Canis lupus familiaris: one gene and its partner. The protein of the gene in region 2 interacts with the protein of the main gene of each other region in a pairwise test. Links are inferred from orthologs where the notes say so. Each region holds a gene or a part of one and is shown on either strand. Other genes may lie near its edges.

The links. The genes of interacting proteins can lie anywhere in the genome.
Region 1: the proteins of NECAB2 (region 2) and KLC4 interact in binary tests that used the Homo sapiens proteins (3 or more experiments, as listed by UniProt). The two-hybrid records come from large-scale screens. The link is inferred for Canis lupus familiaris from reciprocal best matches to the Homo sapiens genes NECAB2 and KLC4.

What each region holds. Positions count from the first base shown.
Region 1 is NC_049233.1:11,773,261-11,776,911, reverse strand, and holds part of KLC4 (kinesin light chain 4), read right to left. Parts: intron 3,576-3,651; coding exon 3,488-3,575; intron 2,300-3,487; coding exon 2,198-2,299; intron 1,972-2,197; coding exon 1,798-1,971; intron 1,494-1,797; coding exon 1,394-1,493; intron 334-1,393; coding exon 281-333; intron 68-280; coding exon 1-67.
Region 2 is NC_049226.1:68,814,394-68,817,488, reverse strand, and holds part of NECAB2 (N-terminal EF-hand calcium-binding protein 2), read left to right. Parts: intron 1-973; coding exon 974-1,027; intron 1,028-1,593; coding exon 1,594-1,706; intron 1,707-3,095. UniProt on the Homo sapiens protein: May act as a signaling scaffold protein that senses intracellular calcium.

The DNA.
Region 1 (3,651 bases), on a different chromosome or scaffold from region 2:
TCACTTTGCAGGCCTTATACCAGCCTCCATATTCAGTGTAGGGTGTGCCGCCATCTCGGTGCCGGCTCTGCAGGACAGAAGGGAGAGGAAGGAAGATGAGAGCACAGAGATGCTGTGGCACCAGCAGGCTGGCTGTGGGCCAAGTTGTGGGCTGCGCTAGAGAAGGCCACGGCACCATGCAGCTGGGGCTGATGCTCATGTGGGAAATAAGCAAGGCAGGTGCAAGGAGTAAGCCAGAGGCTCAGATAGAGGTCCTCTCCACGCTGGGCCCCATACTCACTTTGCTCATTTCTTCCCGCTCCTCTGCATGCATCCAGATGGGCTTATGGTCATCTAGGGGTGATATATGGGATGGGGTGGTAAGATTAGAGAACACAGCTAGACAGTACAAGGGGGAGCCAGGACCCAAATGCCTGAGAACCACTAGGGCCTAACCCCCCACCGTTGGTCTACATTTTGTTTTTGTTTTTTTAAGTAGACTCCACAGGTGGAGCCCAACACAGGGCTTGAACTCACAACCCTGGGATCAAGACCTAAGCAGAGATCAAGTGTCTGACGCTCAAGACGCCCTGAGTGGTTCATTGGTTAAGCGTCTACCCTCGGCTCAGGGTATGATCCTGCAGTCTGAGGATCGAGTTCTGCATTGGGATCCCTGCATGGAGCCTGTTTCTCCCTCTGTCTATGTCTCTGCCGGTCTGTGTGTCTCTCATGAATTAAAAAAAAATAATCTGGGCAGCTCTGGTGGCGCAGTAGTTTAGCGCCGCCTGCAGCCCGGGGTGTGATCCTGTAGACCCAGGATCGAGTCCCATGTCGGGCTCCCTTCATGGAGCCTGCTTCTCCCTCTGCCTGTGTCTCTGCCTCTCTCTCTTTCTCTGAATAAATAAATAAATCTTTAAAAAAAAAAAAATCTGGGGTAGTTCCGGTGGCGCAGCGGTTTAGCACCGCCTGCAGCCCAGGGCGTGATCCTGGAGACCCGGGATCGAGTCCCATGTCGGGCTCCTTGCATGGAGCCTGCTTCTCTCTCTGCCTGTGTCTTTGCTTCTCTCTCTCTAGCTGTGTCTCTATGAATAAATAAATAAAATCTTAAAAAAAAAAACAAATCTTAGGGCAGCCTGGGTGGCTCAGCGGTTTAGCACCGCCTTCAGCCCAGGGTGTGATCCTGGAGACCCGGGATCGAGTCCCACGTCCGGCTCCCTGCATGGAATCTGCATCTCCCTCTGCCTGTGTCTCTGCCTCTCTCTCTGTGTGTCTCTCTCATGAATAAATTAATACAATCTTTAAAAAAAAAAATCTTAAAAAAGTGTCTGACTCTCAACAGACTGAGTCACCCAGGCGCCCCTGCTCTGCATTTCTTCACACCCTGCAGGTCCCTCCCCAGGCCCACCCTGCTCACCATCCACAGACCCAAACTCCTGAACATGTGCACGGGTCAGGATCTCTTTGTAGAGCGTCTCAGCCTCAGCGTATTTGCCCTGTTTCAGGTAACAGGAAGCCTGTGCGCAGAAAGGAAAAAACACGGGACAGAGACAAGGTCTTAGCAGGGCTCAGGGATTTCCACTTCTTGGTCTCCCTATGACTTTCCCCAGAGATCCTCCTCATCCTTCCTTTTCAAGCCGGATGGTCAAGGGTGTTCATTCCACTCCCAGGAGGCTCTGGGACTCGGCCTTCCCACAGGAATGAGGCAGATCCCTCAGCCCCACAGGCAGCCCCTTTGCGCAAAGGTGATGGGGTGAGTGTTGTACATTATGGTACTTTCCCTTCCCCTCCCTCCACTGACTTCTCCCCTTCCTCCCTTACCAGGTTGTTCTTGGTCCGGGCTACATTAGGGTTGTCTGGCCCCAGCTGCCCCTCATAGATGGCCAGTGCCCGCCTGTAATAGCGTTCCACGGCCTCATACTTGCCCTGGTTTTGGCACAACAGGGCCAGGTTGTTCAGCTGCTTTGCCACATCTGGGTGATCTGTGCCCAGGACCTGGAAGGAAGTAAAGGAGTGTGACAGGTGGCTAGGACTGTGTGTGTGTGTGTGTGTACAACACGTGTGCACATAACCATGTGGGGAACAAGGGAAGGGAATGACAGGAAAGGGAACAAGGCAGACATAGGGGGTTGAGAACAAAAATGAGGGAAGAGGGCAGACTGGAAGAGAGATGGTTGAGGAAGGACCACCGCATCAGAGAAGATGGAGAAAGCACAGGTACCTTTTCTCGAATCCCCAGTGCACGCTGGCACAGTGGCTCCGCCTCCTTGTATTTGCCCCTTTTGCCATAGAGCACAGCCAGATTATTGAGTGTGGCAGCCACCTAGGAAGACAGGCCTGTCCCCCTAAGCATTGGTGCTTTCAGAGGCCTCCCCCTGCACAACAGGGCCCCACACTGCACCACTCCCAGGATAAAGGAACTCTGCCATCCTACCCCTAGGTAGGGGAGAAGATGCTGACCTGGAGGTGCTGAGGTTCTCTCTGGGGGTGGTACCGCCCTCTAGGGGGATTTGTAGATATTTCTGGAGGTGGGGTTTTGGGTCACCATAAACACCGGGGCCACTATTACCTCTGGGAAGGTAAGGTTGGCAGATGTTCTGCACGTGGGGTAAAGCTCTGTTAACTCTGCAGTGTCCTGCCAGACATTTGAACACTGTAAGCCTTGACACTTAGTGGGATCTCAAGATAGGAGTTGTTTGCTCAGCTACATCATCCCTGCCTATCACGTGGGGGAACATAAGGAATTATTTTCCTAAAGTCAGCTCATTTGCAAAAATATCTTGTTTCTCATTTTCTCCATTATGACAATCTATCATTTTTCTTTTTCTCATCATATACGAATAGATCCGACCTGTAGTTACTTGGTGTGACACAGGATTTTAATCTTGTATCCACCAGTACTTCTGCTGTCATTTTTTTTCTGTCACTTTTTAAAGTGACACTTTAAAATACTTTTTATTTATTTTTTAGAATCTCTATGCCCAACATGGGGCGTAGACCCCAAGATCAAGAGTCTCCTGCTCTTCTGATTGAGCCATCCAGGAGCCCCTGCTCTGTCATTTTTCTAGTACTTTTTATATACAGTAGTCTTACTGGTCTCACTTTTTCTAAATCTAAAGTTGTATATTATGTTGTATTTAAGTTATATGTTATGTTTTCTGCCATAGTTGTACTTAAAACTGTTACCCTGTCATTTCATAGTACATATTCTACATGTTATTTTTCTCTAAGTTGCTTTCCTCATTTTTATATTAATGAGGTATCACTCAACATTTTTTGGAATTCTACGTGTATGTCAGTTACAGTGTCTGTGAATTATGTTTCAGAAAAATATTCATTATAAGGAAAAGTCATTGTGTCTCAAAGAATTGAGAACCACTGGTCTTAGCAGACAGGGCCTGAAGAAAGGAGCCCTCACACCTCCTCCCAGAGCACCCCTAGCAAGTGGGTTGAGGGCAGTGGATACACAAATGAAGAGAAGCCAGAAAAGGAGGAGGCAAGGAGTACTGACAGCAGGGTGGTCGCGGCCCAGGGTGCTCTCCCGGATGCTGAGGGCATCATTCAGCAGGTGGGCAGCTTCCTTATACTTATTCTGGTCCCTGGAAGAGGAGAGAAGTGACAAGGGGTGACCCTGAACTCTGCCCCCAAGCCATCTCTTTCCCTCCTTCCCTTAAA
Region 2 (3,095 bases):
CCCGAGTCTCTGAGAAGTCAGTACTTAATGCAGGAGCAGCTGTGGAGATCGTGAGGGCCCGCATGGGTACCTGCAGAAGGAGCATGCAGGGCCCCGTGTTCAGACATGAAGATATTTCCAGGTGGTGGCAGCTGCACAGGGTCTCATGCGCAGTTACCATTGTTTCCCTTAACCAGCCGGGGTGCCGCCTCCACACGAGAGAGGACAGACTCAGGTCTGTGTGCCAGAGACACAGGCTGTCCTCGTGGAGGGATGGACAGGGATGACACAAAGGTGGCCTTTATTGGGGTACCCATGTCGAAAAGGAATAATGAATTTGTGGGTCAGGAGGAGAGGCCCTGGCTTCGAAGACAGGCTCCAGCTCTAGCCCCGCTGCTGTGGCCCTTGGAGCCCAGGTCCTCGGCTGTGGGACCTTGAGCGTGTCCAGCACGTACTCTGTTCTAGACACGGGGTTCCTGCCTCCTTGGAGCTTACAGTGGGGTGGCCCCTACCTCGGAGAGTCTAGAGAGTTCAGCAAGATGTACTTGTAAAGCGTTCGGAGCAAGGCCTGTGGGAGGCCAGTGATACAGACCACCCTGTTCAGACCATTAGATCTCCAAGGCCCCAGGGGTTATGACTTGGGGTGAGTGGTGGTAAGTCGGGGAATCTCGGGACCTTTGCCAACAAGTGTGGCAAAAAGACTCAAGCCCCCATTGCTGCCTGTCCCAAGGCCACCCGCTGAGTGGGTCTGGATCTCTGCTGCTTCCTCTGGTCTGGCTGCCAGCCTGGCTTCCCAGCTCCCCTCGGAGCCAGCACTGTGCGTGGAGGGTGGACCGAGCCCTGTCTAGCTGCCAGGGGACCCCAGAGCCCCTGGAACCTTGGGGTGGAGAGGCTGGAGCTCTTTAATGGCTTCAGGCTCGTCGTGGTGGTCCTGGAGGCCTCTCTGAGGGAGGTGGCCTCTGTCCCCAACACGTCTTTGTGCTTGGTGTTTCAGACCATTTGGTTTGACCTCCAGCAGCGCCTTGCGGACGAAGAAGGCACGAACATGGTGAGGCCTGCTCCCTTTCTGCCGCTCCCTGCGGCCCCATCCCTGCCTGAGCCAGGACGTGATGCAGGCAGCTCGATGTCCTTGGCACCCCTCCCCTGGGTACCCCACAAGGGGAGATGCAGCCCCGGCACCTGGCCACCTGCCCCTCCCAGGGCTGTCCTCTGATCACAAACAGCTTGGCTCAGAGCAAAGTGACCAGCGCAGTGACACCAAATCCACCCAGAAGTGGATTTTGCCGGGCACTGGTTTTGTTGTGTGTCAGCCCAGACGGCCCGGCCGCTCCTGATGCCCGTAGGGCCTCTTTAAACACCCTTGCTGGGTGCCGGCCCTGGTGGGGCTCCCGTCTGCTTTTAGCTCTTAAGCCCTAGTTCTTTATAGCCGGCTTGCATGTGGCAGGATGAAGGGCGTGTCGCACACGTGAGGGGTTGTTGGTTTTGTTTTGACCAAGCTGTCCCATGGTCTCGGAGGGCAGGCCTGGGGAGGCCGGGTGTGGGGCTGTGCCCGGGGGCGGGGAGGCGGGTGCCAGGCCCGGGGCGCCCAAGCTCACTCACCCCGTGGCCCCACAGCACCTGCAGCTGGTCCGGCAGGAGATGGCCGTGTGCCCCGAGCAGCTGGGCGAGTTCGTGGACTCCCTGCGCCGGTACCTGCGGGCCACCGCCGGGGCCAGGAACTGCTTCCAGTGAGTGAGCCGAGGGGCAGCGGCCGCAGCTCTGCCAGGGGCGGGGGGCTCCCCCAGAGAGCAAACCGCACCCCAGGGACCCCACAATGGACCGGGCTTTGCCCCCTGCGCAACCAGGGCCATGACTCCAGCTCCCTGGCTTTAGCATCCTCGTCTGTAAAGTGGGGCCACTGCCCGGACCCCCCTCACTGGGGCTGTGGGAGGTGAGCGTGGCCTAGGGGACGTGAAGGCCTCAGGCCAGGGGGTAGGACAGTGCGTGCCCTCAGGGTGGCCGCCCCGGGGCCCCACCCTTAGCTCCCTGCCACCTGCCGGGTCCTCGGCAAAGCTGAGCTGACGGCCACATCTGAGCAGTCCCTCACACTTGCCGGGTGGCCGTCATCAAGGCTGCTGGCCCAGGCCTCCCGGCTCTGGCCCATCCCGTGTCTCGCCCCCAGGAGAGCGGCTGTGGCTCCAGCTTGCTCTCTCCCAGCTCGCAAGCACGTGTGCTTCCGGGGATGCGGCTGGGAAGGGAAGCAGGCCGCTGCTCTGGCCGAGCACCTGTTCTAGGTGGGAGAGGGGCAGATGGAGAACGGGGTGCTGTGGAGGCCATGAAGCAGGGTCCTGGAGGGGCTGCAGGGATGGTTTGCTCCGGGGTGAGGGGTGGCTGGACCTGCTGACTCGGAGGAAAGGCCGTCCCCGCTAGGTCAGCTGGTGCCGAGACCTGGAGTGGCAGCCGGGGTGCCCTGTGTGGCACCTGCTGTGGCCCGACGGCGACACCAGGGGTGCGGACTGGGGCTGGTCGGGACTGTGTGGGAGATGCTGGAGCAGAAGGCAGACGTGGCCTGGTCTCTCCTCTGTGTGATGAGGGCTGAGTGGGGACCGGGGTGCATCAGGGCCAGGGGAGGCCCCGCAGTCACTGAGCAGGGTGGCCTTCCTGTGCCGTGGGTTCTGGAGCAGAGCTGACCGGCCTCTCCAGTGGCTGCAGTGGAGGGAGGAGGCAAGGCTGAGCGGGAGAGTGTTTGTCTCCAGAAACCCTGTAGAGGGTGGTGCGTGCACTGAGCTGGAAGGTCAGGAGGAGGCCAGGTGTGCTGGTGGGGGCATTGTACAGGCCTCCTGGGCCACGTTAAAGTCAGGCTAGCAGCCAAGGTGCTGACGTACAGGTGCAGCAGTCCTGGGAGGAGAGGTGTTCCCCGTGGGCAAGGCTGTCAGGAGCAGAGGGGCGCAGGCGGGTGGAGCGGGGCTCCCTGCCTGTTTGTAGAAGGACTGCGTCCTCCCTACAACCCACGCTTGCGTGTCTCCCTGCCTGCCCAGAGGCATTCCCCCCACAAAAGCAATCAGTGTGTCGCCAGCCACACAAATGCAGCCCCCGTGGTGGCTTTCATCTCCCAGTAACCAAGTACCAACAAACCA